Linked DNA regions of Anolis sagrei. The main gene of each other region encodes a partner of the protein of the gene in region 4 in a complex. Links are inferred from orthologs where the notes say so. Each region holds a gene or a part of one and is shown on either strand. Other genes may lie near its edges.

Region 1 (8,126 bases), on a different chromosome or scaffold from region 4:
TAATTTGAGTTTAAAAGCTTTCCAAATAGGCATTATGATTTCAAATCTACTGAGCAAGGATAGGAATAACATAGCCCTCAGGATACTGGACTCTAGTTCCTATTGTTTTTCACCATGAGCTATGGTGGCAAGATATGCTGAGATCTGAGGACCAAAAACATTTGAAGGATGACTCCTATCCCAGTTCTAGATTATTTCCCTCTTTTCTAGCAACAGCAGGCCTCTTAGAATACACGTTTAATTTTAAAATCTATCAGTCAAATCAATTTAATTATAATAGTTGAGAAACTTCTTATAATACAATCTGAAATATTCAAGTTAGAATAAAGAAGAAACAGTTTCACTACGTTATTAAAAATTCAGTTAGAAAAACCTATCCTTCATTATTTTAATACATATAAACATAATAAATATAGTTATAAAAATCACACAATGCCAGCAACACTATTTTATCCCATTACCGGGAGAAGAAAAGTTTGCTTTTTACCGGATTTCTGAAGAGTGATATAAAATCAGGTTTATGCTTCTTTAAAATCTGGTCAAGAATATGTATTGCTTCAGGTTGCCTTTTCCAAATGGCATTAACAACTGCTTGCCAAATGTCTTTGTAGGGTCCCCATAAACTGGCAGCTAAAAGCAAAATAGACAAAGCAAGAAAAAAGCAAGATATTTACCACAAGTGAATATTATGATTAAACATTATTCATGTGCAAAAATATTTTACAGAAAAATATTTAAGATAAATTAATTAATTTTTTACAAAAGCAGCAATCAGCTTAGTGAACAGAGACAGGAAAGCAAAAGAAAAGTCCCTATGTGGGTAATCATTTATTTGATAACATAGAATCATAGAGTTGAAAGAGTCTTTGTGGGCCATCCAATCCAACTCCCTCCCAAGAAGTAGAAAAACTGCATTTATTTACAATATTTATATGCTGCCCTTCTCACCTTGAAGGGGACTCAGAGCAGCTTACAATATGTAAATACAATATATTATATTATTACCATAGCACAATATTAATATTATATATTACTATATTGTACTATAACATTATACTGTAATATTATTCGTAGTACTATATTGTATTACATTATAATAGTATCAATATTATATGTATATACAATATATTATATTATATTATATTATATTATATTATATTATATTATAAGCACAGTGCAGGAGACAAGATGGAAATGCCTTCCTGGCCCCTCTCTTCACTCTGATCTCAGAGCAGCAGTTGGTGCTGGGGGGGAGCTCACATTCAAAGCACACACACACACATTCAAAGCAAGCCCACCAGTATAAATAAGTTGTAAACTACAAAAAATGCATGCCACAAAATATTTGTTGGTTTTCCACCAAATGGGAGAATACTAAGGCGCATATTTACATCTCAGGAAGATTTCACCTGAACATTAGGAAGAACCTCCTGACCATAAGTTTAAAGTCTTATAGTTATATGATTGATAGCTATAAGTTGTAAGTAATTATGTTTGTTAGATTTTATTTATTGTGATTTGTTTGTTTAATTTTCTGCTTGTGTGACTGTTATCTTGTATTCTGTGTTGTAAGCTGCCCCAAATCCCTTTGGAACGAGGGGGAGGGATATAAACAAAGCATTATTATTGTGATTATTATTATTAGAGCTGTTCAACAATGGAACTCTCGGCCTCAGAGTGCGATGGAAGCTTCTTCCTTGGAGACTTTTAAACAGAGGCTGGATGGGTTGCTGTAAGTTTTCCAGGCTATATGGCCATGTTCCAGACGCATTCTTTCCTGATGTTTAACCCACATCTATGGCAGGCACCCTCAGAGATTGTGAGGTCTGTTGGAAACTAGGCAAGTGCGGTTTATATATCTGTAGAATGTTCAGAGTGGGAGAAAGAACTCTTGTCTGCTTGAGGCAAATGGGAATGTTACAACTGATTGCCTTGATTAGCAATGAATAGCCTTGCAGCTTTAAAGCTTGGCTACTTCCTGAATGAGGAAATCCTTTCTTAGGAGGTGATTAGTTGGCCCTGATTATTTCTTGTCTGGAATTTCCCTGTTTTTGAGTGTTGTTCTTTATTTGCTTCCCTGCTTTTAGTTTTTTAATAGTGTTCGCCTGACATTGCTCATTTTCATAGTTTCCTCCTTTCTGTTGAAATTGTCCACCTGATTGTGGTGGTTGGGATGCTTTGTTTGTGCATGACAGAATGGGGTTTGCCTGGATGGCCAATGCGGTCTAGTCCAACTCTTATGATTCTATGAAAACACATTCATGCAGCATTTTGTTTTTTCTTTAAGTGGCTGCCAGAACCTATTCCTTTTTTTAAAAAAAAATATTTATTGTAGTTTTACATATTCAGTGTTTAAACATTCTTATACTTATCACTTCCCCTTAACAAATTGTATACAGAAACCTATTCCTACTCTTCCCTGCCTCTGGTATCAAAGTTGCTGCTAAAGAAGTAAGCTTAGGAATGTATTGCCTGTCCTTAGAAAACTATCATTCTATTATCTTACAATTCTATTTTATTAATACCACTATTCCTCCGTGCTTCTCTCTGAATCGAGGAGACCCAGAGTGGTTATACCAGGCGTGGGCAAACTTGACCCCTCCTTCCAGGTGTTTTGGACTTCAACTCCCACAATCCCTAACAGCCTCAGGACCTTTCCATTCCCCCCTAAGCCACTGATTCTCAGCCTGTGGGTCCCCAGTTGTTTTGGCCTACAACCCAGGAATCCCAGCCAGTTTACCAGCTGTTAGGATTTCTGGGAGTTGAAGGCCAAAACATCTGGTGACCCACAGGTTGAGAACCACTGCCTAAGGCTGTTAAGGATTGTGGGAGTTTCCAAAAGTTTGCCCCTGCCTGATCTACACTGTTATGTAACTGCACTGGGTTATACTCATGTACTTAGGAGCAAGCCCCATAGAACTTGGCTGCTGTGGGTCTCAGGCAGTCCTCCACGTTCCCTTCCACGGCAAAGAGTGGCGCAGGGCCCAAAGACAGGGCAAGGCAACCCCAAAACGATGCCGCCCCGTCCCCGAATGAGCCTCAGGCCAAACTCGGGGCTCTTCTCACCTGAAATTACCGCCAGCGGCGCCGACATCTTGGAAACTCGCGAAGGGGCTTCAAGGCGCCCTCGCTTCTCAGGGGCCTAGAGCAGGTAGAGGTGCCCGCGATCTGCCGGATCAGGAAAAAATCCTCTCTTCATAGACAACTCGGCTAATAAATGGCAAATGCATATTATCAGCGTTTTCCATTATTTTAGCCACATGTAGGAGGGTAGTGCTTTAGTCCATTACGACAAAAGCGCTCAAATTGCACGACCGGAACGCAGGCACGATTTAGACGCCTAAGATCGAAACATGGAAAGAACTTTGGGGTTTGTAGTTCTAGGCCCAGCGGGAGAAAAAAGGGCGGGAAAGTCGAAATAGAAACCCTTTTTTTGCGGAAGAGGAAGCTTCTTGAATCTATCTTGGCAAGGAAACCCGTGATAGGGTTGCCACAGGTTGGAAACTGCTTCAGGGTACACAACAACAAGGCCTTGTTGAACAGAATGGATTGATGTCATGTCCAAAGCTTTCATGGCCGGAATCACTGTGTTGTTGTGAGTTTTCCGGGCTGCATGGCCATGTTCCAGAAGCATTCTTTTTTGACGTTTTGCCCACATCTATGACAGGCATCCTCAGAGGTTGTGAGTTCTGTTGGAAACTGGACAAGTGGGGTTTATATTCTGTGGAATGTCCAGAACTCTTGTCTGCTTGAGGCAAGTGTGAATGTTGCAATTGGCGACCTTCATTAGCATTGAATGGCCTTGCAGCTTCAAAGCCCGGTTGGTTGCTGCCTGCAGGAATACTTTGTTTGAAAGTGTTAGCTGGTTTAACTTTTCTGAGTATTCTGCGGATATTCAAGTCCTCTTATATACAGTGGCGTAGAAAATTGACATCCTTTATATAAAACATCCTAAGTGGTTCTCAACCTGGGGTCCCCAGATTATTTTGGCCTACAACTCCCAGAAATCCTAACAGCTGGTAAACTGGCTGGGATTTCTGGGAGTTGTAGGCCAAAAACATCTGGGGACCCCAGGTTGAGAACCACTTGTAATGTTCGTTTGTGGGATTAACATAACTCAAAAACCACTGGACATATTGACACCAAACTTGGCCACAAGACACCTACTAACCCAAGGAGTGACCATCACTCAAAAATTTTGATTTAGTCATTTGGGAATTGTAGTTGCTAGGATTTATAGTTCACATACAATCAAAGAGCATTCTGAACTCCACCAACGATGGAACTGAACCAAACGTGGCACACAGACCTCCCATGACCAACAGAAAACACTTGAAGAGTTTGGTGGACATTGACTTTGAGTTTGGGAGTTGCAGTTCACTTACATCCAGAGAGCACTGTGGACTCAAAAAATGATGGATCTGGACCAAATTTCGCAGGAATACTCAATATGCCCAAATATGAACACAGATGGAGTTTGTGCAAAATAGACCTTGACATTTGGGAGTTTTAGTTACTGGGATTTATAGTTCACCTACAATCAAAGAGCATTCTGAACTCCACCAATGAGGGAATTGAACCAAACTTGGCACACAGAACTCCCACTGCCAACAGAAAATACTTAAGGCCATCCAGTCCAACTCTCTTCACCAGGGCAAGAAAACGTAAACAAAGTCCTTTTGACAAAGAGCCACCCAGTCATATGATTCACGCGCATAGTATAGATTTGAAAGGGACCCCTAAAGAAGGACAATTATATGTTGCATGTTCCAGAGTAGGCAAATCAGACAATCTCCACATCAACACTGACAAAGAAACAGCAAGAAATACTGTTTACTAACAAGCATAAAGAAATTACATATATTAGAAATCAACACTTTCTCATTACTTTATTGTCCAGATCACCATGCTGGGCCACAGCAACGCCTGGCAGGGGACGGCTGGTATAAAATAAATGTGTACTTTTCGGATTTAAAAAAATATGGTCAGGCCATGAAGGCTTGGGTAAAGGATCTGTGAACACAGGAGGGTGACTTGTTCCCAGCGCTCCAAACTACAGCTCCCACCATGCACAGCGTTTTCCAGTGTTCTACTTCCTCTTCGTAGCCTTGCTGTTTGCCGCGCATGCGTGGTGCGGTAACCCGAACGGATGTTTATCGCCTGCTGGAGAAGGAGAGGGTCGCGTGGCGAAGCGGTTGTGGGTGAGTTAGATGCATTTCTGATTTCCAGGGATATAATCGAAAACAACGGAGAGGTGCTCTAGGAAAGATATGCTTCCATCTTTGGAGGGTCTTCTGTTCTGTTGGGGATGCTGACTGCTTGTGTGGATAGAAAGCCACTGCTGGCTTCAATAAACTACCTCAAAGCAGGCCTTTGCAAGTTGTAACTGATGGTAGAACAGGTATAACACACTTAAGCGGCTGAGAGGGAAAAGGAAGGGGCCTGAGGCTGTTAGGAATTGTGGGAGTTGAAGTCCAAAACAGCTGGAGGGCCCAAGTTGGCCCATGCATGTGGTAGAACAGTGGTTCTTAACCTGTGGGTCCCCAGATGTTTTGGTCTTCAACTCCCAGAAAGCCTAACAGCTAGTAAACTGGTTAAGATTTGTGGGAGTTTTAGGCCAAAACACCTGGAGACCCACAGGTTGAGAACCACTGTGGTAGAAGATCCCTTCTGTATGTCCTTTCTGTGGTTCTGGGCCTCAAACTACTTCCAGTTGCAAATTCCCTTCTAATGTAACCAGTAAGAGAAGAAGCCAAAACTAGGAGAGGCTTCTTCTCCAATGCAGAGCCAACCTAAAGAAATGGGACTACAAAGTGGAATCCACAACATGCGAGTGTGGAGAAGAGCAAACCACAGACAAACCTATTACAATTCAGCCTGAGCCCTGCCACATGCACAATGCAGCAACACCAGGGGCACTCCAAGTGGCCAGATACTGGTCAAAGGACATTTAATCAACTACCAAGCTTGCAAACTTCGTGTTTTGTTAAAAAATGCAATGCAACTGTTTGGTTTGCCCCTGATACGATAAATAAATAATACCTAGTACAACATTCAGTGTTCCTCACAATTGTAGTTGCAGCCTGACAACATTTTGAGGAGTCACACAATTCCTACCAATGATTTAAGCCTCCTTCCACCAGTATAAAATCGAAGGATAAGCTGATCTTATATTTTGCTCAAGTGTTGGCGTTTTCTTCCCTTAGACCACAATTAGAACTTGCCACTTTCTTCTCCAACAGCTATCACTACAGAAAGGAGAGTCCTCTTGCTGATTTTCCCTTCTCCCCAGGAGCATTGTTTTTGCAAGTTATCATGTTTGTGTTAGTGGAGATGACAGATACTGTGCGAATCCCTCCATGGCAGTTTGAAAGGAAGCTTAATGATGCCATCACTGAAGAGTTAAATAAGAAACTGGCCAATAAGGTAAACTTTGCATGGTTTGTCTCACTACTATACTGTCACACAGATTCTAAAGACAGTAAACTTTGGGTGTATACAAATAATATGTGTATTTATTTGCTTAATCTGTTTTAATTGTTTATTTGTTGGAATACGTTTTTATGACTGTGTCTATATGGCATTGAATTTTGCCAGAGCTGTAGGCCACCATGAGTTCCCCAAAGGGGTGAGAAAGGCAGTGAACAAATAAAGATTATTATTATTATTATTATTATTATTATTATTTACTGCTCCATCTTACATATGTCAAAGGCAGATTATTCCCAGTTAAGCGAATGAAGGATTGTGGACAAATGTCGTGTGGACAGTCATGGTGCTGTCTCATATATTTAATGAATGTAGCTGCAATGCTAAAATTATACACTGTAAAGTCGCTGATTTTGATCAATATAAATTTAGTATCTTTTCACTAGTTACATTTAATATGTAAATGAGCTCCCACATGACATGAAATAGAAGAGTGAAGAGATGTTGAAAATAATGAGAAATTGATAAGGAGACTGGCTACTCAGAAGTATGAACCTTCATTTCCCCCTTAACCACCCCCTCTGTTATCATTCTTTCTTGTTCTTGTAGCGTTACTTGCATATTTGAATTATTTTTATCTATCCAGTTATAGATCCGTTCACCAGTTTGGTTTGTTGGTACAGTATTCCTTGTTCTGTTTCAAGGGGGCTAACACATCTCTTCCAAAGTATTCAACTTCATTGATTTTTGGATTTATTTCTCTAAACAGGTTGTGTATAATGTTGGCCTCTGTATTTGTCTCTATGACATTACAAAGCTGGAGGACTCCTACATATTCCCAGGAGATGGTGCATCACACACAAAAGGTTTGCCTGTTGTTTTCCATGTCAATTATTTTTGGATCTGACAACTATGGATCTTCAAGACTACCCTCTAGGCAACATAATAATTTCTGGGTAACCACAGCACTCCATATTTTTTTATTATAACTCTGTTGTGCTGATACATAATACAGCTGGAAAGCACATTTTTGTGGCATACGAAACTGAAAAAATTATGTTCATTCTCCTTCATCCTTGGTACCATTTTTGCTTAGGACAGGTTAAGGTACCATTTCTGCCATGCTGTATACATTTTCTCATTTAATGCTAGCATTCTCACACTTATACACTTGTTCCATATTCTATCTTGATGTTCAATCTGTTAACAAACTGGCTTATGCTCATTTGCCTTGCAAGTACAGCTGTAATTATTTATTAGCTGCATTTATACCATGCTTTTTCTCGTGCTATACAATGTTGCTATGCTAATTTTGTGCACATGTATGTTTTGACAACATACAAGTGAAACATTTATCTAAGGAAAATCTGCTTCCTTCTTTATAGTGCATTTTCGGTATGTGGTGTTTCATCCCTTTCTTGATGAGATTTTGGTTGGAGAGATAAAAGGCTGCAGTCTAGAAGGAGTTCATGGTAAATTTTAATTTTTATTAAAATTCTAGACCTGTATTCAGATATATCTGTGGGGGGCCTGAAGAGAGAATTAACATCATGTTATACCCTAATGGCTTCTGTGTTAATCTGAATGTTCTTCTTGCAGTTTCCCTTGGGTTCTTTGATGATATCATCATTCCTCCAGAATCTCTGCAGCAGCCTGCCAAATTGTATCCTCCATGATAATAAATGTTTTAAAAATCC
Region 2 (7,877 bases), on a different chromosome or scaffold from region 4:
GCATGTTGACCCTGTGCTCTATTCAGATCTATTATTACTATGATCAACAGTACAATGCATTTTGATGGTGCCATATGAATAACCTCTATTATTCTTATTACTATGGTTAACTTTCCAATGCAATTTGATGGTGCTAGATCAGACATAGGCAAACTTCGGCCCTCCAGGTGTTCTGGACTTCAATTCCCACAATTCCTAACAGCCTAAGGCCCTTTCCCTCTCAGCCGCTTAAGTTGTTGAAGGGGGAAATTAAGAGGCCTGAGGTTGCTAGGAATTGTGGGAGTTGAAGTCCAAAACACCTAGAGGGCCGAAGTTTGTCCATGCCTCTGCTACATCAATAAACTAGATTATTGTTAACTTTAGAATGCTAATTGATGGCACTACACAAAGGCAAACATTCAATGCCTGCTTGAGTCCAGGTGTAGAGTAACAATAATAATGGGTTTCTGTGAGTTTTCCGGGCTGCATAGCCATGTTCAGAGGCATTCTCTCCTGTTTCACTCACATCTATGGCAGGAATCCTCAGAGATTGTGAGGTCAGTTGTCAGACCCTGTGTCAGACTACACAGAGAAGTCATTGAAATCCGCAAGCATATGGACAATTTCAACAGAAAGGAGGAAAGCATGAAAATGAACAAAATCTGGCTGCCCGTATTAGAAAACTCTAAAATCATAAATAAAGCGCAACACTCAAAACACTGGGTATTCCTGGCACAAAACAATCAGGGCCAGCTAATACCTCCCAACAAAGGATTCCCCCAAGCAGGAAGCAGCTAGGCTTTGAAGCTGCAGGCCATTCAATGCTAATCAAGGTGATCAAATGCAACATTCACACTTACCTCAAAAAGACAAGAGTTCATTCTCCCACCCTGGCCATTCCACTGATACACAAACCTTACTTGCCTAGTTTCCATCAGACCTCACAACCTCTGAGGATGCCTGCCATAAATGTGAGCGAAACACTAGGAGAGAATGCTTCTGTAACATGTCCATACAGCCCAGAAAACTCACAGCAACCCAATGATTCCGTCCATGAAAGCCTTCAACAACACATTGAACTATGATTATTTATAATATTAATAATAAAACTTTATTTATAACCTGCCCCGTGGGGGACTCAGCGCTGTTTCCAACAAAAGATGGCAAACATTCAATGCCATATTATTATTAACCTTATAGTGCAATTTGATGGTGCGGTATCACCCATCATTATTTATTATTATTTAGTCAAAATAATAAATTATTATTGATATATTGCAACGAGGCTTTGCTCCTGTAGCACAGGAACAGCTGGATTCCATCCTGCACATTCTTCTGCACTTTACCAGGAACTAAGATCTAGCTTTCTACTACAAGTTATAGATTTTTTGAAAAAAACATAATGACCCTGACAAAAATAATTACGTGTTTAAACTGCCAAGATTTTAACTGTTGCCTTTTAGAGGAAAGGTTCCTGGATGATAATAATAATAATACTTTATTTATACATCATACAGTCCTAGACACTTGGGAAGTGTCCTACGTGTGATTGAATACAACAGCCAGCAGAGTCATCTTGTCTGTTGTGGACTCATCTTGTTGTGTTTCAAATAATAATAATGACTTTATTTATATTCCTCTCTATCTCCCCGAAGGGCTCAGGGCGGATTCCAAGCATAAAAGGCAAACATTCAATGCCCGAATACAACAGCAATACATCCATACTAACAAAATTTAAACAGCCCAACATATAAACACGAATGATAACTTAACAACTAAAATTAAATTAAAAACACAGCCTATTATAACAAATGTAAAGCAAAACATCAAACATTAAAAGGAAACAAGTCTGGATGAAGTCTGTAAACTGAACATGTTGGAAATGTGAAGTTTTCTTTCTTTTATCATTTATACTGTACTAGCTGTCCCCTGCCACACGTTGCTGTGGCCCAGTCTGTATATATGTGGTGTGTGTATATATATGTATGCATGTGTATATATTTGTGTATATATATTTGTGTGTATATATGCATGTATATATTTGTGTATTTCTGTGTTTATATGTGTATATGCATATTGTGTATGTGTGTGTGCTTGTCTATATGCATATTTGTGTGTATATATGTATGTAGACATGTATGTGTATATGTATGTGTGCATGTATATGTGCATGTGTATATGTATATATGTGTATGTATATGTGTGTATATTTGTGTGTGTTTGTGCATATATATATATATATATATGTGTGTGTGTGTGTGTGGATGCAGGCATGTAGCCGGGGGGGGGGGGGCTTGAGGGGCTTCAACCCCCCCCCCCGAAATTCTCATGGTGGTCCGCAAGAAGGCCTTACTGGTACACTATTTAAATTGTTATGTTTATTTATATCATGATCTGATCACCATGCTCAATATATCCCATATGCATGGGGGTATTGGGGTAATGATACAAAAGGTTTGCTAGGGTAGACCCTCTTTCACTCAGACTCAGCCCCCCCCAAACCAAACCCAGCCTCCCCCCCCCCAATCAAAATCCTGGCTACGGGTCTGTGTGTATGAATGTGTGCATGTGCATATGTATATGAGTGTATAGCTATATATGGTGTATTTCTGGGGTTTTTAAGCCTGTTCCGCTGGGGTTGTGTGTGTGTGCATGCACGCGTGTGTGTGTTTATGGTGATGGACACTCGTTGGACTGATAGGTGTATTGTGTCCAAATTTCGTGTCAATTCGTTCAGTGGTTTTTGAGTTATGTTGATCTCACATTACATTTTTATTTCTATAGATTTTATTTTATACTGTCTTGTTATATATGCCAATAAAGGCCTATTGGTTTGGATTGTGATAATATCCTTGTATTGGAAGGCCCTGGTCCCTCATGTGAAGAGGCGGAAGAGGAGGCGCGGGACCTTGTTCCTCTTCCTCCTCCTCCTCCATGGCCTGGCTGCTCCTGAGGCCCTCTGCGAAGCTCCTTGGCGGAGGCTCCCTCGGGCCTGCCTCTTTCTTTCTTTCCTTCCCGCCTCCCTCCCTTCTTCCCCTCAGGTCTCCATGCTTTTGGGCCTCTCCTTGCCTCACCTGCTTGTTCCTGGGGTAAGGCTTGGAGGAGGGCGCTGCGTGGTGGTACCGCCGCGTCCGTATCTTCCCGCCACCGCCTCCTGCTCCTGCTGCTCCTCCGCCGCCTCCTGCTGCTGCTCCGCCGCTGCTCTCTCCGGCCTCCATTTCGGGGCCTCGCTTTGCTCCCTTCCCCCTCCCCCCTCCCTCCCCCTCGAGCGCGCGGCGCAACCTGAGGCCTGGCCCGACCCGGCCTCCCCTCAAGCGCGCGCCCGCGCGCGCTCTCCCCTCACGTTGCTCCCGCCTCTGGCTCTCGCCCTCACGCGCGTTCTGTGCTGTCACTCTCTCTGTCTCTCTTTCTCTCTGTGACGAAGGGAGCCCGCCTCGCGCCCCTCACACGGAACGCCCGGCTTCCCCGCGCGCCGCGCTTCTCTTCTCTTCTCCTCCTCGTCACCGTCTAGCCCGCCCGAGACTTCCCCCTCTCTCCCTCCCTCCTCCTCCTCGCTTCCTTTCCACAGACCGACCAACCAACCAAAGGGCACACGCCCGTGCGGCCTCTCGTCACCCAAGTGCGACGCAGCATCATGGCATGCGTCATTCCCGCTCGCTGAGCGGCCGGGATTCATTCATGCCACTGCGCTCTCATGGGAAATGTAGTCTTGGAGAAAGACCGACTACTAGGCCATACCTAGCAGGCAGGCAGGCAGGTGGAGGCTCTCGCAGCCTTCCAGAGGAGGCGCGGGATCTCGCGAGAGGAGAGGGGCCGAGATTCTGGAATGAGCGGGAATTTAGGAGGCTGTTGCCTCTCTTCAGAAAAAGACTCGGTTGCAGTTTCTGAGGGGAAATGGCATCACTGGAAAGGAGGCTTGGGCCTTTTTAAAATAATAATAATAATAATAATACATTATTTTTATTATTATTACACTGCTGGAATTGTCGAAGGCTTTCATGGCCGGAATCACTGGGTTGTATGTTTTTTCGGGCTATATGGCCATGGTCTAGAGGCATTCTCTCCTGACGTTTCGCCTGCATCTATGGCAAGCATCCTCAGAGGTAGTGAGGTCTGTTGGAACTAGGAAAATGGGTTTGTGGAATGACCAGGGTGGTACAAAGAACTCTTGTGTGCTGGAGCTAGGTGTAAATGTTCCAACTGGCCACCTTGATTAGCATTTGATGGCCTGGCAGTGCCTGGGAAAATCTTTTGTTGAGAGGTGATTAGATGTCCAGACACTGCCAGGCCATCAAATGCTAATCAAGGTGGTCAGTTGAAACATTCACACCTAGCTCCAGCAGACAATAGTCCTGTGTCCCACCCTGGTCATTCCACAGATATATAAACCCTTTTTCCTAGTTCCAACAGACCTCATTACCTCTGAGGATGCTTGCCATAGATGCAGGCGAAACGTCAGGAGAGAATGCCTCTAGAACATGGCCATATAGCCCAAAAAACCCCTACAACAACCCACTGCTGGAATTGTGAATTCACCAAAAATTTCCCACTTGGTGTACATGGATGATCTACGGAAAATCAAAAACTGAAATCCAGGCACTGACCAACATAGTCAGAATCTTCAGCACTGGCATCGGTATGGAGTTCAGCCTAGACAAATGTGCCACAGTGGCACTGAAGAAAGGGAAAATTACTCACAGCGAGGGCATAGAGATGCCAAATGGACAAACCATAAGGTGCAATCAGCCTGAAGCCTATAAATATCTGGGCATACTACAGCTGGACAATATCAAGCATGGGGAAGTGAAAAATGTGGTCAGCAAATAATATGTCCGAAGAGTAGGAAAGGTTTTGAAGAGCAAATTAAATGGCAGAAATACGATCAAGGCTATCAACACCTGGGCCATCCTCGTCATTAGATACACTGCTGGGATTGTGAACTGGACACAAGCAGACCTGGATGATCTAGACAGAAAAGCAAGAAAAGTGATAACAATCCACAACTCATTACAGCCACGTAGTGATGTTGACAGACTTTCCCTGCCCAGAAAATCAGGAGGCAGAGGGCTTCTGCAAGTGAAACAAATGGTAGAAGAAGAGAAACATGCACTGGCAAATTATGTGAAAGGCAGTCAAGAACCAACATTGAGGGAAGTCAATAGTAGTAAACTGCTTCAAGTGCAAAAGACAAAGAGGGAATGCCGTAAAAACACAATCCAGAGCAGAAGAGAAAACTGGTGAAAGAAGGCTCTCCATGGACAGTCCCTGGGAAAAATTGAGAGCCAAATTGACAAAAACAAAACAAAACATGGCTGTGGCTCAAATGGAACTTTGAAAAAGGAGACGCCTGATTCTGGCAGCCCAAGAACAAGCCATCAAAACCAGAATTGAAAAGTCAACAGCAGATCCTAACTGTAGACTCTGCAAGGAAGCAGAAACAATAGATCACATCCTCAACTGCTGCAAGAAGATTGCGCAAACAGACTACAAGAAGAGGCATAACACCATAGCTCAGATGATTCATTGGAACGTGTGCCACAAATACCATCTGCCTGCGACAAAGAACTGGTGGGATCACAAGCCTGAAAAAGTTACAGAAAATGAACACTTCAAAGCCCTCTGGGACTTCCGAATTCAGACAGACAGAGTTTTGGAGCACAATACTCTGACCTCACGATTGTGTTAAAAAACAAAGTATGGATTGTCAGTGTTGCAATCCCAGGTCACAGCAGGATTGAAGAGAAACAACTGGAAAATCTGACACGATATGAGGATTTAAAGATCGAACTGCAAAGACTGGCACAAGCCAATCAAGGTGGTCCCAGTGGTGATCGGCACACTGGGTGCAGTGCCTAAAGACCTTGGCTTGCACTTAAACACAATCAGCGCTGACAAAATTACCATCTGCCAGCTGCAGAAGGCCACCTTACTGGGATCTGAGCGCATTATTCACCAATACATCACACAGTCCTAGACACTTGGGAAGTGTCCGATGTATGATCCAATACAACAGCCAGCAAAGTGATCTTGTCTGCTGTAGATTCATCTTGTTGTGCTTCTAATAATAATAATAATAATAATATATTTGTATTCCAACCTATCTCTCCAACGGGACTCAGGGCGGATTCCAGAATACACAAAGGCAAACATTCAATGCCTGCTTGAGTCCAGGTGTAGAGTAACAATAATAATGGGTTTCTGTGAGTTTTCTGGGCTGTATAGCCATGTTTCAGAAGCATTCTCTCCTGATGTTTTGCCCACATCTGGCAGGCATCCTCAGAGGTTGGGAGGTCAGTTGTCAGACTCTGTGTCATACTTCACAGAGAAGCCATTTAAGTCTGCAAGTATGTGGACAATTTCAACAGAAAGGAGGACAAAACAAAATCTGGCTACCAGTATTTTAAAAAAGCCCCTCTAAAATCATAAATAAAGAGCAACACTCAAAACACTGGGGATTCCTGACATGAAACAAGCAGGAAGAATATAAATTAAATGGATTCCTGGTTATATACCACAGTAATATATACCCACAAATACAGCAGTATGTATAGGTCAATAATCAATAAACAGGTTTATCAAACCTGTTAATTGATTATTGACCTATACATACTGTTGTATTTGTGAGTATATATTACTTGGATGAAAGAAGTAGAGCCAGCTAAGGATGCCCCCAGGCAGGAAGCAGCCAGTCTTTGAAGCTGCAAGGCCATTCAATGCTAATCAAGGTGGCCAACTGCAACATTCACACTTGCCTCAAACAGACAATAGTTCTCTCTCCTGCCCTGGACATTCCACAAATATATAAACCTCACTTGCCTCAGTTTCCAAAAGACGTCTCAACCTCAGAGGTTGCCTGCGATAGATGTGGCCAAAACATCAGGAGAGAATGCTTCTGGAACATGGCCATACAGCCCAGAAAACTCACAGAAACCTAGCGATTCCAGCCATTAATGCCTTCAACAACACATTTACCTATTTTTAATTTATAATAATCATGGCCGGAATCACTGGGTTTCCGTGAGTGTTCTTGGCTGTATGGCCATGTTCCAGAAGCATTCTCTGCTGACGTTTCGCCCACATCTATCACAGGCATCCTCATGTATGGCAGGCATCAACCAGAGAAGCCAGTAATAGCAGAGCACCTGATGAACACAGCATATTATTTGAGAACACATAAATGCTGGACCACTCGAACAACCATCATGTCAGACTACACAGAGAAGCCACTGAAATCCACAAGCATGTGGACAATTTCAACAGAAAGGAGGAAACCATGAAAATGAACAAAATCTGGCTACCAGTATTTTTTAAAAAACTCTAAAATCAGGACAATAAATAAAGAACATCACTCAGAGAGCAGGGGAATCCAGACAAGAATCAATCAGGGCCATCTAACACCTCCCAAGAAAGCATCCCCCAAGGCAGCAACCAGCCAGGCTTTGAAGCTGTGAGGCTATTCAATGCTAAATAAAGCTGGACAATTGCAACATACACAATGTGTTGTCGAAGGCTTTCATGATCAGAATCACTGTGTTGCTGTGAGTTTTCTGGGCTGTATGGCTGTGTTCCAGAAGTATTATCTCCTGAAGTTTAATGCACATCTATGGCAGGTATCCTCAGAGGCTGAGGGGTCTATTGGAAACTAGGAAACTATCGTTTTTATATCTGTGTAATGTCCTGCGTGGGAGAAAGAACTCTTGTCTGCTTGAGGCAAAGTGTGAATGTTTGAAGCTGCAATCAAGGTGGCCAGTTGCAGCATTGCCGCCTGGGCCTCTTGCTGCCGCTTGGGCTCTGTGATGCCTCCTCAATCCTCAGTGTTCCCTCTCTACTTAAATTCTTTAAAAACACACACACAAAACAGCGAGTCCGCGATAAGTGAATTGCGAAGTAACGTGGGA
Region 3 (8,051 bases), on a different chromosome or scaffold from region 4:
CTTGTAAGAGGAAAAAGGTGTCTCAACTGAAGCCTCATTATCAATCCTTGTTTCCATGACAAGACAAAATTTTCAAAATCCAATTGTCACAGGGACAGGAAATGAGATGAAATCTTTTGAACAGGGCACAGACAGCAAAACAAACTTTACAGGCATGCTAATCCATTCCCATGCTATCTAAAACTAAAAAATGGTTTTGGCTGGCTTTTCACTTAAAAAATGTAGTAGTTCTGACTTACATACAAATTCAACTTAAGAACAAATGTCTAGAACCTATCTTGTTTGTTGGCTCTGAAATTCTTTGCTATACGGCTGGTTAGTCCCAACAGAGTACTATAATCAATTAAATCAGTTGTTAATGTTTAGGTAAGTCGCATTTATTCAATTCTAGTCATGTTAGTGAAACAAGAACTCCAATCTGGTTTATATGCAAACTCTATAGGAGTTATCCAAGGTGCTGAAATCATTTGTGGGCCTATAGTTCAGCATCTGGGACAGTTCCTGTAAAATTCAAACTAAAACCTTTAGCAAAACCCGCATCACACTGTTATGGAAGCCACTAGAAATCAATGCTTTAACTCTGACTTCAATGTCCATTTCAATACCATATACAGTTGCTGTCACTGGACATTCAAATTACGCATCACTGATTTAAATACACATCTCACCTGAGACTCCTTCCCTGGATGTATATTTTTACCTAGTGAGGAACTGGCCAATGCAAAAAAAGGAGCATCTAAGCCAGGGGTCCTCAAACTTTTTAAACAGAGGGCCAGGTCACAGTCCCTCAAACTGTTGGAGGGCCGAATTATAATTTGAAAAAAACATGAATGACTTCCTATGCACACTGCACAATTATTATTTGTAGTGCAAAAAACACTTTAAAACAATTCAATAATTAAAATGAAGAACAATTTTAACAAATATAACCTTATTAGTATTTCAATGGGAAGTGTGGGCCTGTTTTTGGTTGATTAAATAGCTGCTGTTGTGTGCTTTCAAGTCGTTTCAGAGTTAGGTTGACCCTGGGCGAGGGCCAGGTAAATGACCTTGGAGGGCCTTAGTTTGGGGGCCCCTGATCAAAGCTTTACAAAATCAGCTTTATTTACACAGCACCTTTGGACAAAGATCTAGAAAACATTCCTCCAATCTTAGTTGCAAAAAAAAATAATCAATGTTGACATCTCTCTAAACACAAAGGTTACCAGGAACAGACAAAAAGGGCCCACTGGAAAGAAACAAATGAAGCAGACACTACTAGAATGTTTGTTATCACCAACACTTCCATTCATAGTTCATGGTATTAATAACAAAATCCTTACTATACTTTGTGTATTTAATTCTACTCTGACTTCAATCAGTATTCCAGCTTATCATGTACTTTGTGGAAGTCTGTTTATTTCTTTCTCTAGAAAGGAACTCAAAGATAATACTCCATTCCTCTGAGGAAGTGGACTGAATCTGTATCACAAGTTATAGTAAGTTTGGTAGTTTGAAAAGTATTCTATAAGTATTGCTTCCTCAACCTAATATGGTTGCTCCCTCCCCCCAAAAACAGAATTCTTAATCTAGGGCCCCTTTCAAAGCAAACTAAGGGGTAGATATTTGTGACAAGAACAGAATAACTGTTCAGCCAGACAAAAAGCACTTCTTTGGCCCACTCACCAATGAATGAAGCGGTTTCTGGTTACCGATCCCAGCTGCGCATTCTGCTGGTACCAGTATCCACCAGCGCTGTCTGCATACCGCGCGGCTGTAGAGGACAAACCACCACCTGCAATGGGCAAACAAGGGAGGCTGGTCAGCCACCATGCACCACATAAAAGAATACCATTACACCTGCTGGCAACAAAAAAATGTTTTTCCATTGGCCTGTAGAGCCCGGTTTAGGTGGTCCAGTTCCCCTTGGAGGAGGAATTCGCAGATTCTGTTTGCACAGTCTGCCAGGGCTTTAACTGTGCTTCTTTTTTTACTTGGGTGATGGTTGTAGTTTTTATGTAGGTATCTATCCATGTGTGTAGGTTTTCTGTAAACTGTGGCTCAATTGTTGATTGGGTTTGCGGATAACTAGGACATCTAGAAATGGCAGCTTTCCTTCATATTCTTTTTTCATGGTGAATTGAATGCTTGTAACAGTTTTTAAAGTATTTTGGGTGACAAATACAAAAACCTTAACAAAGAAGGCATACACAGTTCTTTTAGTACTTATGTGAATACAAGTTGCACATTCCTTATTCAGAACTCTGATATGCTCCAAAATTGCCCACACTGGATGGCTGACATAGAGACACCTTTGCCTTCTGATAGTACAACATACACAAATTGCGTTCCATGCACAAACCATTAAAAAGTACGTTAAAAATATCTTTATACTGGCTGTTAGGAATTGCGGGAGTTGGAAGTCCAAAACACCTGGAGGCAGGGCTGAAATTTGCCCATGCCTAGTATAAAATGTATACAAAGTATAATCAAATTTCATGCTTAGGCTTGGGTCCCATCTAAAGGTACCTCATTACAAAACATAAATTGTCTGCTTAGATTTGGATGCCCATTTATATATCTCATTAGGTACATATATTCAAATACAAGTATGTATATTTTCTCCAATAAATCCAGGGTAGCTCTAGCCCAGAAATGGGCAAACTGAGGCCCTATAGGTGTTTTGGACTTCAATTCCCACCATTCCCAGCAGCCTCAGGTCCCTTCCTTTTCCCCCTCTGCCGCTTAAGCGGCTGAGGGGGGAAAGGGAGGGGCCTGAGGCTGCTGGGAATTGAAGTCCAAAACACCAATAGAGCCTCAGTTTGCCCATGCCTACTCTAGCCCCAAGCATTTCGCATACAGGGATACTCAACCTGTACAAATTTCATTCGGTAACGTACTACAACATAGGAACATAGGAGTATGTACGTGGTGGAGCAACCCTGAGGTCATTTTTGGATTGACGGCCTTCGGTTTTGCAGGCCTGAGCTACTGTTCCAGCCTGGCTGATACCGCTGCTCGAATAGGAGGGTGGCCCACCTGGCCCGGAAAGAGCACCCACCTGGGAGGCTGAAGGCGAGCTCCCGGGCTCGGCGTCGCGGCCTCCTTGAGGTCCCGCCCAGCTCCAGGTAGCCACGCTCCCCGAGGCCCTCGGCCACTGACGCCGCCATCTTCCCTTCCCGCGCGCGGCGCCGCGGGGCCTCACGGGAGGCAGGAGCAGGAAGAGGGCGTGGCCGGAGGGAGTGCGCCTCCGCTGTGCATCATGGGGCGGGAGGGGGCGTGGCTGTCTGCGCGACTCGTGCCCTTACGCTGCTTACGGAAAGGACAGGCGGCGTTGCCAGGGCAACGGCGGGATGATTGGCTCTCAGTTACGTCCGGCCTAACGGTCGTTGCGTGCGCGTTGATTTCAAAAGGGATGATGTCCAGCCGGAACCAATGATTTTCCAAATATAAACATCAATCCTCACAGGTTGAATGGTCTGTTGGAAACTAGGCAAGTGAGGTTTATATATCTGTGGAATAATGCCCAGGGTGGGAGACATTGTCTGCTGGAGGCAAGCGTGAATGTTGCAATTGGCCACCTTGATTAGCATTGATTGAATGGCCTTGCAGCAATTAGCTTTGAAGCTGCAAGACCATTAAATGCTAATCAAGATTATCAATTGCAACATTCACACTTGCTTCAAGCAGACAGGAGTTCTTTCTCCCATATATAAACCTCACTTGCCTAGTTTCTTTCTCCCATCTCACCTCTGAGGATGCCTGCCATAGATGTGGGCAAAACGTCAGGAGATAATGCTTTTGGAACATGGCCATACAGGCCGAAAAACTCACAGCAACCCAGTGATTCCAGCCATGAAAGCCTTCGACAACACATTAAGGATATATATAAATGTATTTCTAATCAGAACCCTGAAGACATTTTTGTATTATCCTTATACATATAAACCAAAGGTAATGTTATACAATATTTTAAATTAAAGTTTGTGTTAATAACAGCTTATATATTTTACCAATCAAATGTTCATCTTCTGTAAATAACTGTAACTCAAGTTCAGATTTACTTTATTATTCTTTCTTCCAAAGAAGATATTGTGGTGCCATGGATGTGGACTCACTTTCTTACACTGTGTGTCACAAAAAAGCCCTCAAGTCACCAAAAAGCATTGTGTGAGCAGTGTGCTGTATGTAAGGAATATAACCTCCATATGCATGGATGCCTGGAGCTCTTGTTACAAGAAATAACACATTGGAAGGTGCTGTAGCATCATAATATCTGCCAGGTTCAGTATTCTTCAAAGGAAGAGGATCCTGGCCCATGGGAGAGGTTTTGTTTCTTCCTTTTCTGGTTGATTTGAGAGCATTATCACATTTTCCTAACAGCTTCTTTGCACATAGCATAAGTTTTCATGACTATCACCCATGCTACATACAGTGTCATTCAGAAATTTGAGCGCATTTTTATTTGTTTATTTATTTATTTAGAACATTTTTACCCCACCCTTCTCAATCCCTGGGGGGACTCAGGGCAGCTTACAATTGGCAATAATTCAATGCCACATCATAAAATACAGGATAACAAATAACAATTATACATGAACATTAATAAATAAAGATGGATGCTCAGTCTCATTATATACAATTGTGTAGAAAATGGTGCCACTCGCATTAAAAACAAAATCAATATTTTGCTTTTTTGGATTTGTAATATATATTTTCAAGCTGTGGATGGTAGAATCCATGCATGCAGAATCTATGGATATGGAGGGCTGACTATAAGAGTATTATGCACATGTATAGGATAGGATTGTAGCCATTGTGATCAAAGAGAAATCAAATGAGAAAGTACTGACTGGTATTTACCTTATTAACATGTCCATGCAACTTTTATTTATAATACAAATGCCTTGGCAGTAGATAACACATGTCATAATATTGAATTATAGACTGCATTATAATGAATTATAATGCAGCTATTTCCCTTCACTCTCCCTTTCATTCAAATCTTTCTTTTTTGTTTCTTTTTCCCCACAGCAGTTGTGTTAAGGTCAGTGATAAGAGGTCTGGTGTTTCCTTGGACACTGATGTGTCATTTTACTGATTTGTTCATATTGCACTACATTAACTGCCATGGCTCAATGCTATGGAATAATGAGATTTATAATTTGGGGAGGTACCAGCACTATTTGGCAAGGAAGGCAAATGCCCTTGTAAAGTTACAATTCTCATGAGTTTATATCATTGAGATATGGCTGAGCAGGAATTTGAACTCTGGTCTCAAAGTTGTAGTTGAACACTTAAACTACTACTGTATACCACACTGGCTCTCCTCCTGTCTCCTGTTCTTGCTTTTTAAAAAACAAAATAGAGGTCAGTATGCTTTATGTTTTCAGGAATTCCAGTTGCTGATTTACCTTGGCTCTGTCTCTAGAGGGCATCAGTCACTTTAAGATCCTTGGCACATCGTTTGTTTATTTTCCCCATAAGTTCATATGTTAAGAAAACCTATTCATTTCAATGTGCTGGAGAAGAGTTATAGGGATACCACAGACTACTAAAAAAAAACCCCAACAAACCCAAATTAATGGGATTTAGAGAAAATCAAGTCTGAACTCTCAATAGAATAAATAATGACTAAATTGAGTCTGTCTTATTTTGGAAGTATCCACAAAAGAATAATATCTTTATTGACCAACCAAAATGCATAAAACCAATGATGCAAACTTTCAAATCTCTGTTCACGTTTTAATCAGGCAAATGTGTTAAAATATGAAAGGTGATGGAGTCACAGACCTAAATATAGTCTTACATATTGTTCTGTTCTCACATTTTTCGCCCTATGGAGAGCGAGACAACGTTACATTAAAGTAATGTATGAGAATATTAGTACAGAAAGTGCTTGTGAAGACATGTTTTATTATCCCATGAGCACTCAATGCTTTGTTTTAAATTTCAAGAAAATGTTTCTCTTTGTATAGTCCTATGCAACATTGTGAGAGTCATTTCTGCTTATTATTTATCACGGGATTGAGGACAGAGTCCAGAAAGAGCAAGAACAACACTTAGTGAGTTGCTTTTGTTGCTTATCTTTCTCAATCCAACAATAAAAACAAACACTTTCCTCTTTCCCTCAAAGACTTTGCTTTCCCCAAAAGCTTTGATTTCCCTTTTTATTGTCTCCTTTCTCTCATACAGGAATGGAAATCAAATAGAGTCCTAGATGCTGTTGGATTACAACTCTCAGTTTGAAATTGCATTATATGACAGCATAGGTGGGATCCCAATATATTTAACTTAGCATTCTGAAATATGAGAGGAATGCTAAAAGTTGCAATTTGTGATTCCTACCCCTACTTTAGCAGAACAACACTTTTCAAGAACTTAGATTTTGGAGAGCTAAAATTCCCTGTATCAACTAGCCAACATGTTCGTGCTAGGTAAAAGATTCCTGAGGATTATTGTTCAAAAAACTAACCTTTCTAAACTCTTTGCTTTATTAATTAATTTTAAAGGCAATATATTTATTTATGGGTTTTTAAAAAGTTATCTCCATTGCTTCTGCCCTGGAACACTGCTGAAATTTACAATCTGAATCAGCAATCTAGCTTTGGTCTGTATTACACCTTTTGTGTTGCTGTTTCTCATAGTGAGACACAAGGTGAACCTACACTGTAGAATTAATACACCCTTAACACCACTTTAACAACTGTAACTGAATGATATGGAATACTGGGAGCTGTAGTTTTACAGGGCCTTTTGCCTTCTCCACCAAATAGTGTTGGCGCCTCACCAAACTACAACTCCCATTATGCCATAGCAAGTGGTGTCAAACTACATAAATTCTACAGTGTAGATGTACCCCCAGTGGTTGCTTTTCCATACCAAAAGGCAGATTTGTTGAGACTGTAGAACAAAGTGATCAATATACAGAGTTAAAAATATCTTTTTCTACCCCCCCCCCAGTAATTCATCAACACAACTGACCCAAAGTATTTTGTTGCCTAAATAGTAGCTGCAAATGCCCAAAACTAGCTGAATTGTTTTGACACATGACACAGAAAATACCAGAAACACTTTTGCCCATCTTCAGATGTTAAAAAACCCCTAAATAACAAAGCAAATAACTAACACTTTGCTGTTACTTCATGACAACCATCATTTCTTGCATCAGTTGGGCATATGGATGCCAGCCCTGGCGTTATACCAGTTTAGTTCTATTAAACCTTTAATTCTGTCTTTATCGTTAATTCTCACATCTCCCTTGCTATAGCAGATGAGATTAGATTTGGGAGGCTGGACACCCTAAATTATACACTCAAATTATATTTTTTAAGAACCTGGACCCTTACGTCTCTTTTCTATCTATACTTTGGACTTTCTTCAAGAGGATGTATTTAGTTCAGGGTCAGCCTTTTATCTGCTTTATCAATGGATTTCCAGATGAGCTTAGATCCTTGCTGTTCGATTCTTTGAATCTAGATATCAGTTGTCACTTCATCTGTGCTACCTCATTGTATCACAATGGCCTTGGAAGCTTTGTTATGCAGCAGGAAAGTATTGCCTCTAAAACCATGCCTTTTCATCATTTTCATATACTCAGATAACAATGTACCTGTATGATTTTAACATAACATCCTCTTTAGTGACTTAATTTGTGTAACCTCTGGGCTATAGCTATCTCGTAGCCCTTTCACATAAGAGAATTCTGGCTGTAATAGGAATTGAATCCCATAACTATGTTACGTTTGCGAGGGCAACAGAAAATTTGGCAGGATATCATGATTTTTGAATGGCTCTAGGGTGTGAACATTGTAGTGTACACAAGCTCACTATTTGTATGTAAATATAAATATTATTTTTCAGGGGTGGTGCTTGAATGTTAGTACTGCTGATGGCTAATCCAGGAGGAAGTATGATAGTAGAAGGCCAGTTGAAATTGGAGAATGATCTGAAATGGACGTTGTAATTTTCTCTAGACTAGGGAAGGGAAATTGAAGGTATCTTCGTTGCTCTATCATCTGAGCACTGCGAGTGCAGCATTTTTAAAAAATAAAGCAGAGAGTGTTTGAGGA
Region 4 (8,689 bases):
ACTGCAAACCAGAACTGACAGTTGGCACAACAAAGCATTGCACAGGCAGTTCCTTGACAAAATTGAAGGAAAATTTGATAAGAAAACCTGGTTATGGCTCACGAATGGAACCCTGAAGAAGGAGACAGAAGGCCTGATTCTTGCCGCCCAGGAGCAAGCCATCAGAACAAATGCAATTAAGGCCAGGATTGAAAAATCAGCTGATAACCCAAAATGCAGACTGTGCAAGGAAGCTGATGAAACCATGGATCATATCCTCAGCTGTTGCAAGAAAATCACACAGATGGACTACAAACAAAGGCACAACTCTGTGGCCCAGATAATTCACTGGAACTTATGTCACAAGGACCATCTGCCAGCAGTAAAGAACTGGTGGGATCATAAACCTGCAAAGGTAGTGGAAAATGAACACGCAAAAATACTGTGGGACTTTCGAAACCAGACTGACAAAGTTTTGGAAGACTATGAAACAGCAAGAAATTCACCAAATATTTCCCACTTGCTGTACATAGATGATCTAAGGTTTTATGGAAAATCGGAAACTGAAACAGAATCAGAATCTCCAGCACTGACATTAGTATGGAACTCAGCCTTGACAAATGTGCCACAGCGGCAGTAAAGAAAGGGAAAATTACTCACAGCGAGGGCATAGAGATGTCAAATGGACAAACCATAAAGTACAATCAGCCTGAAGCCTATAAATATCTGGGCATACTACAGCTGGACAATATCAAGAATGGGCAAGTGAAAAAGGTGGTCAGCAAATAATATATCCAAAGAGTCAGAAAGGTTTTGAAGAGCAAATTAAATGGCGGAAATACGATCAAGGCTCTCAACACCTGGGCCATCCCCATCATTAGATACACTGCTGGGATTGTGAACTACACAAGCAGAGCTGGGCGATCTGGATAGAAAAACAAGAAAACTGATGACAATCCACTCCTCATTACACCCGTGTAGTGATGTCAACAGACTTGACCTGCCCAGAAAATCAGGAGCTTGAGAGAGGGCTTCTGCAAGTGAAACATACGGTAGAAGAAGAGAAACACGCACTGGCAGATTATGTGAAAGGCAGTCAAGAACCAACATTGAGGGAAGTCAATAGTGAAGTCAACAAGTGCAAAAGACAAAGAGAGAATACCATAAAAACACAATTCAGAGCAGAAGAGAAAACTGGTCAAAGAAGGCTCTCCATGGACAGTTCCTGGGAAACACTGAGAGCCAAATTGACAAGGAAAAAACATGGCTGAGGCTCACGAATGGAACTCTGAAAAAGGAGACAAAGGATGGCCTGATTCTGGCAGCCATTAGAACCAATGCCATCAAAGCCAGAATTGAAAAGTCAACAAGAGATCTCAAATGTAGACTCTGCAAGGAAGCAGATGAAACAACAGATCACATTCGCAGTTGTTGTAAGAAGATCGCGCAGACAGACTACAAGCAGAGGCACAACACTGTTGCTGAGATGATTCATTGGAATTTGTACCAGAAATACCATCTGCCTGCGACAAAGATCTGGTGGGACACAATGTGAAGATTTAAAGATTGAACTGTAAAGACTCTGGCACAAGCCAGTAAAGGTGGTTCCAGTAGCCCTTCAGGCCCACGCCCTGATTGCTCAGAAGTGGGTCCTGGTTCCTGCAGCCCACTTGTCGATGGGTGCCCAGGAGAAGCACTTGCTGTGGTCCTTATTATCCTGGGTGATGACCGAGCCAGTATAAACTTCTTTACAATTTGTTTCACCATATTTAAATGGTTTGGGTGTACTTAGTTCTACTTCTCAGTGGAGACCACTCTGGCTTGGCTGAACCTGCTGGTAGTTTATACTATCACCAGCACAGCTCTCAACATCACAAGCCAGTAAAGGTGGTCCCAGTGGCGATTGGCACACTGGGTGCAGTGCCTAAAGACCTTGGCCTGCACTTAAACACAATCAGCGCTGACAAAATTACTATCTGCCAGCTGCAGAAGGCCACCCTACTTGGATCTGCACGCATTATTAGCCGATACATCACACAGTCTTAGACACTTGGGAAGTGTCCGACGTGTGATCCAATACAACAGCCAGCAGAGTGACCTCGTTTGCTGTGGACTTGATCTTGGAGTCCTCGTGGACAACAAGTTAAACATGAGCCAACAATGTGATGTGGCGGCAAAAAAAGCCAATGGGATTCTGCCCTGCATCAATAGGAGCATAATCTCTAGATCTAGGGAAATCATAGATGTATATGGAGCCCCCAGTGGCGCAGTGAGTTAAACCCTTATGCCGGCAGGACTGAAGGTCGCAGGTTCAAATCCGGGGAGAGGCGGATGAGTTCCCTCTATCAGCTCCAGCTCCTCATGCGGGGACATGAGAGAAGCCTCCCACAAGGATGATAAAAACATCAAATCATCCAGGCGTCCCCTGGGCAACGTCCTTGCAGACGGCCAATTCTCTCACACCAGGAGTCATTCTTGACACGGCAAAAAAAATAAATAGATGTATATTGCGTTCTTAGGGTGAGGGAGAAGCGTGGAGAGATGTAAAGACACCACACACTTTTTTTTGCATGCTATCTCTGCCAATATGGGATTTTGGCCTGCATCAATAGGAGCATAGTGTCTAGATCTAGGGAAGTCATGCTCCCCATGCTCTATTCTGCTTTGATTAGACCACACCTGGAATATTGTGTCCAATTCTGGGCACCACAATTCAAGAGAGATATTGACAAGCTGGAATGTGTCCAGAGGAGGGTGACTAAAATGATCAAGGGTCTGGAGAACAAGCCCTATGAGGAGTGGCTTAAGGAGCTGGGCATATTTAGCCTGAAGAAGAGAAGGCCGAGAGGAGATATGATAGCCATGTATAAATACGTGAGAGGAAGTCCTAGGGAGGAGGGAGCAAGCTTGTTTTCTGCTTCCCTGGAGACTAGGACGCGGAACAATGGCTTCAAACTACAAGAAAGGAGATTCCATCTGAACATTAGGAAGAACTTCCTGGCTATGAGAGCCATTCAGCAGTGGAACTCTCTGCCCCAGAGTGTGGTGGAGGCTCCTTCTTTGGAAGCTTTTAAACAGAGGCTGGATGGCCATCTGTCAGGGGTGCTTTGAATGCAATTTTCCCGCTTCTTGGCAGAATGGGGTTGACTGGATGGCCCAGGAGGTCTCTTCCAACTCTAGGATTCTATGACTCATCTTGTTGTGTTTCAAATAATTTATAATAATAGTAATGTATAATAACATAACTATGAAGTATTGCATGAAAGATACAATAATATATTTCTGGTATGTTTACTCAATATAGAATGATACATAATAATAATAATAATAATAATAATAATAATAATAATAATAATAATCCAGCCTCGAAGTCTTGGAAACAGGCAAGCGACAGTTCCAGCCCTTCTTCTTCCCCGTCGACTGAGGCGAAAGCAAGTTTCTCCCCAGGAAGCCCTTCCGCCTCGCTTCCCCTCCGCCTCACCTTCATTTCCCTCTCGGGAATCACGTCCATGTCGTCGCCCATCCCTCTCCTTCTTTCCGCGTCGCCGCCTCACCTCACCTCACCTCCTCGGCCGGAAAAAGGAAACCAGGACGAAGCTTCCGGTTCCGGTGGCGCTCTAGGCCCATACCCGCCTCTCTCTTACCTTTCCCATAGAGAAAGCCGCTTTCGAAGCCTAGAGAAGCCGAAATGGAGGCGGATCGTGGCGTTTTCCTCGGACCCGCCCGCTCAGGAGACCAAAGAGTTAGAAATCTATAGACACCTCACTGCAACATCGACTTCTGGTTCCCTTAGGCCATTTTTTTTTTGTTTTATGTGGGACCCTAGAGATAGCAAGGTATCAAGATAATGCTCAAGATCCTGCAAGGAAGACTCCAGCAATACATGGAGCGAGAGTTGCCAGATGTTCAAGCTGGGTTTAGAAAAGGCAGAGGAACGAGAGACCAGATTGCCAATATCCGGATGCTGGATAATGGAGAAAGGCAGGGAGTTTCAGAAAAACATCTATTTCTGCTTCATTGACTATTCTAAAGCCTTTGACTGTGTGGATCATCATAAATTGTGGCAAGTTCTGGGTGGGATGCCCTATTTTCATATGTTTACAGCAGAAACTACCGAAAATCATGCCACAAAAATATTTGAATTTTTCCATCTGAGGCACACCTGGGCTCCTGATGGTCCCCCATCTCATGAACAAGGGACTCTCTTTCCTCCTCATGGATATATTTCCTTTTATGGACCTTCCTATGAATAATATGAACTATGGACACTGGGGGAAGGTAGTTGGGTTTACTCCTTGTGTTATGATTTCTATATTTTCATATCTTCTCCTGTATTTCTATATTTCCCTTCATGTATTTGACCTTGCCCTGACCCTTTTGCCCCCTTCCCCTCTCCTTGGGGGAAATCTACAAGGAATCTGCCCTGCCTCTGGAAAAGCAACCTGCGATCATGAAAAGACCCTTCTCTTTGGACATTCTTTGCATGGACAATAGTAAAGGAAATCCTTTTGACTTCGGAGTTGGGCCATCTTAAGGGTTCCTGTCTGGCAGACTTTTTAATCATATAACAATGGGGGGAAATATGACCTTAGGAAAGTCCTCTTTTCCTCCAAGCCATTTTTCTTTCAAATCTTTCCACTAAGGACACTCACAAAAGTTTCCCCTTTGTGCCCTATCTGATTGTAAGAGGAAAAACCGGATTAAGCCATCAATGCTTATCACAGACCCATTTCAGGACAATAAAGTGGCTTCTCTGGAAGGCCGATCCCCAGACTCGATAAGCCTAAGGACATTAAAACTCCATAATCCACTCCAGAATGCATTGTCTCCCTTCATCCCGCCTCCCTCCCTTCTGATTCGCTGGAGCGTCGAGGCAGCAGGAGCCTCCTGATAGGCTCTGGTGCCCCGCAAAAGCCCTGTGATTGGCCCTGATGCATGGGGGATGGCCAGGCCTCCTCCCAGCTGTTTGCGCGTCAGCCAATCCCCTTCGAGCTGGGCGGGAGGGGGGAGCAGGAATTTTGAAACTCACAACTCTGTATTTTCTATAAAAATGGCCTTTACTTCTGTAACCACATGCTCTGCTTGGCGAATTATTGCTGCTCTGCATCCTTTTCAGCTGAATCGCTAATAAACCTCGGTGGCACTTCCTTCAACTTGGTGAGACCTTTTATTGGGAAAAATCAGGGATTGGGTGCTTCTCTCTGTCTCGCCAGGGTAACAAACTCTTTAAGGAGCCTGATTGGTCTCTGCCTCCTGGCAAAGACACCTAAATTCCTGCTCTATAGCATAATGGGCACTGATCTTGGGTCTCGGAGTCCGACTGCTTGAGGAGATGTGCCCACTTGGCATAAGTTATCAAGGGCCTTCAGAAAGCCACAATTTGTCCTGATCTGTTTACTCAGTTATCTTCCCTCAACCGAAACTGCAGATAAGATTGTTCCATTGTCCCCATATCCCTGCTCAAGAAAAATCCGGATTCTGGCCACCTCGCCAGACATCAATGTTGATTACCAACTCCTCATCACAATAGCTGGTCAGCTGGAAGGCCCCTGAGGACTCACCAGCCACATGGACATCACATATTTCCATAATCCACTCAAGTTCTCATTGTTTCCCTCTCGTCCCGCCTCCCTCTCTCCTGATTGGCCAGGAGGCCGAAACGGCATGAGCTCACCCATTGGTTAAGGCACTCCGGAGGCGACCAAGCCTCCTCCCAGCTGTAGAGCACCAACCAATCAGCGCCGAGCCGGCTGAGGGGCGGGGAGCGGGAGATTCAAATCTGACAGCTCTGTATATGTATAAAAAGGCTTTGTTTTGTATTCAATGTATGCTTGCCTGACGACTTGATCAGTCATTGAAGCAGTAGTCTCAGGAAGGGAGTGAAGGTACTTCAAGTCCCATCATCCCATGTGTGCCAAGTTTGGTCCAGGTCCGTCGCTCGTGCACGCCACAGTGGCAGACAATCAGAAAGCTGCCACATACATACACACATACATACAAACATTCTCTTTATTTATTTATTTATTTATTTATTTATTTATTTAAAACATTTCTATTCTGCCCTTCTCACCCCGAAGGGGACTCAGGGCGGAGCACAGCATATATACAGCAAACATTCAATGCCGGGACACAAATTCAAATAGAATACATAAACATTAAAAAACAATTTATCAAATATTAAAATACCTCATTTAAAACCATCCTAGATATAGATTTAGAAGATATAGATTATAATTATTTAAAGTCATTAATGATTTATAAAAGGATGACATTTTGTTTGCAAAGAGAACCCAGGCCCATTCCAGAGACACGGCCGGCTATACAGACAGTGCTTAAATAGATAGATATGTGTATAATATATGTTTATATGATATTTATATGATATACATACATATATATATATATATATATATATATATATGCATATATTTAAAACGGCTACTTCTAAGAGGTCCCTCCGGCCAGGGTCCCAGGAATTTCCCTTCTCGATCCTTCTTCCTTTGCTAAAGCAGAGAGTTAGTAAGGGAGGGCAGGCTTCCTAAAAGGGTCTGGGGTCAAGTGGGGGTCTTTTTCCCAAAGGAAGGGGGTTCACGGCAGGGTAGAGATGTCCCTCTTCGGAGGGGGGCCGGGGGCCTTCGGGGCAGCGCCTTCACCGGCCTTGTCTTCAAACATCATGACCCTGCAAGGAGACAACAAACGGCCATCCAGTTATATACAGTGTTCCCTCACTTATCGCGGGTGTTACGTTCCAGGACTACCCACAAAACGTGAAAATCCGCAAAGTAGGAATGCTATATATGAATACACCTTTTTTTTTGCTAGTTATCTCTGCTTTGCTTTGCAATTTCTCTTGATTGGCTGTTTCTCTCCTGAGGGGGGGGGGTGACACCCCCTTCCACACTCCATCGTTGCCAGGAGGCAGGATTAGAACGGCAACGGCAACCATTCATAAACTGGGAGGCAAAAACCCGCGAAACAGCGAGTCCGCAAAAAGCGAACCGTGAAGTAACGAGGGAAAACTATATCTGTATAGAACTCATGTTCATAATTAGACAGTGCAAATATATAATATATAATATATTATATATAATATATTATATATAATATATAACATATAATATATTATATATTATATACTATATACTATATATATACATTAGATGTACCTGCCACGCATTGCAGTGGCCAACCTTCCTCTTTCTCTTCTCCTCTTTCTCTCCTTCCTTCCTTCTCTTCTTCTTCTTCCCTTCCTTCCCCCCTTTTCTTTCCCTTTTGCTTTCTCCCCTTTTTTCCTTCTCTTGGACTGCAACTCCCAGCAGTCCTCTTGATCTATCTATCTACCTACGTACCTATCTCTATCTAATCTATCTATCTATCTGGACGATTGCTGGGAGTTCTTTTATTCATGCACTCTACTATATATATATATATATATATATATATATATATATAAACACACACACACACTAGCTGTCCCCTGCCACGCGTTGCTGTGGCCCAGTCTGTTGATCTGGAAAATAAAGTAATGAGAAAGTGTTGGTTTCTAATATACTTGTGGGTAAACAGTATTTCTTGCTATTTCTTTGTCAGTGTTGATGTGGAGAGTGTCTGATTTGCCTACATATACAACATATAATTGTCCTTCTTCAGGGGTCCCTTTCAAATCTATGATACTATATTTGTGTGTGTGTGAATCCTTTATATCTATATCTATAGCTGGATGGCTCTGTCAGGAGGGCTTTGATTACATTTTCTTGCCCTGGTGAAGGGAGTTGGACTGGATGGCCTTGAGTGTTTTCTGTTGGTCATGGGAGTTCTGTGTGGGAAGTTTGGCCCAATTCTGTCGTTGGTGGGATTCAGATCACTCTTTGATTATAGGTGAACTATAAATCCCAGTAACTACAACTCCAAAATGTCAAGGTGTACTTCACCCAAACTCCATCTATCTTCATATTTGGGCATATGGAATATTCGTGCCAAGTTTGGTCCAGATCCATCATTGTTTGAGTCCATGGTAGTCTCTGGATGCAGGTGAACTACAACTCCCAAACTCAAGGTCAATGCTCACCAAACCCTTCTAGTGTTTTCTGTTGGTCATGGAAGTCCTGTATGCCCTGGTTGGTTCAATTCTATCATGCTATTTGATTGTAGGTGAACTATAAATCCCAGCAACTACAACGCCCTATCTATCTATCATCCATTTATCTATCTATCTATCTATCTATCTATCTATCTATCTATCTATCTATCTATCTATCTATATCTATGGCTGGATGGCTCTTTGTTGGGAGAGCTTTGATTACGTTTTCTTGCCCTGATGAAGGGAGTTGGAGTGGATGGCCTAAAGTATTTTCTGTTGGTTATGGGTGTTCTGTGTGGGACGTTTGCCCCAATTCTGTTGTTCGTGGGGTTCAGAATGTTCTTTGACTGTAGGTGAACTGTGAATCCCAGTGACTACAATTCCCAAATGTCAAGGTCTATTTCCTGCAAACACATATTTGGACATATTGAGTGCTTGTGCCAAGTTTGGTCCAGATCCATCATTGTTTGAGTCCACAGTGCTCTCTGGATGTAGGTGAACTACAACCCTTCCAGTATTTTTCTGTTGGTCATGGGATTTCTGTGTGCCAAGTTTGGTTCAATTCCATCATTGGTGGAGTTCAGAATGCTCTTTGATTGTAGGTGAACTGTAAATCTCAGCAACTACAAC

Evidence for each region.
Region 1: NUP214 (region 4) and NUP205 share a complex: the UniProt entries of both Homo sapiens proteins name them as parts of the nuclear pore complex. The link is inferred for Anolis sagrei from reciprocal best matches to the Homo sapiens genes NUP214 and NUP205.
Region 2: NUP214 (region 4) and NUP153 share a complex: the UniProt entries of both Homo sapiens proteins name them as parts of the nuclear pore complex. The link is inferred for Anolis sagrei from reciprocal best matches to the Homo sapiens genes NUP214 and NUP153.
Region 3: NUP214 (region 4) and NUP160 share a complex: the UniProt entries of both Homo sapiens proteins name them as parts of the nuclear pore complex. The link is inferred for Anolis sagrei from reciprocal best matches to the Homo sapiens genes NUP214 and NUP160.

The regions. Positions count from the first base shown.
Region 1 is NC_090025.1:157,994,764-158,002,889, forward strand, and holds the start of NUP205 (nuclear pore complex protein Nup205), read right to left. Parts: upstream 3,138-8,126; 5' UTR 3,095-3,137; coding exon 3,067-3,094; intron 631-3,066; coding exon 488-630; intron 1-487. Other genes in the region: POLR3H (DNA-directed RNA polymerase III subunit RPC8), read left to right, coding at 5,125-5,201, 6,243-6,426, 7,199-7,295, 7,815-7,901, 8,029-8,092. UniProt on the Homo sapiens protein: Plays a role in the nuclear pore complex (NPC) assembly and/or maintenance. May anchor NUP62 and other nucleoporins, but not NUP153 and TPR, to the NPC.
Region 2 is NC_090024.1:81,879,932-81,887,808, forward strand, and holds the start of NUP153 (nuclear pore complex protein Nup153), read right to left. Parts: upstream 3,242-7,877; 5' UTR 3,198-3,241; coding exon 3,054-3,197; intron 1-3,053. UniProt on the Homo sapiens protein: Component of the nuclear pore complex (NPC), a complex required for the trafficking across the nuclear envelope. Functions as a scaffolding element in the nuclear phase of the NPC essential for normal nucleocytoplasmic transport of proteins and mRNAs.
Region 3 is NC_090021.1:231,925,495-231,933,545, forward strand, and holds the start of NUP160 (nuclear pore complex protein Nup160), read right to left. Parts: upstream 3,207-8,051; 5' UTR 3,150-3,206; coding exon 3,041-3,149; intron 1,775-3,040; coding exon 1,666-1,774; intron 1-1,665. UniProt on the Homo sapiens protein: Functions as a component of the nuclear pore complex (NPC). Involved in poly(A)+ RNA transport.
Region 4 is NC_090031.1:17,129,446-17,138,134, reverse strand, and holds the start of NUP214 (nuclear pore complex protein Nup214), read right to left. Parts: upstream 3,576-8,689; 5' UTR 3,503-3,575; coding exon 3,461-3,502; intron 1-3,460. Other genes in the region: AIF1L (allograft inflammatory factor 1-like), read right to left, coding at 6,568-6,658. UniProt on the Homo sapiens protein: Part of the nuclear pore complex. Has a critical role in nucleocytoplasmic transport.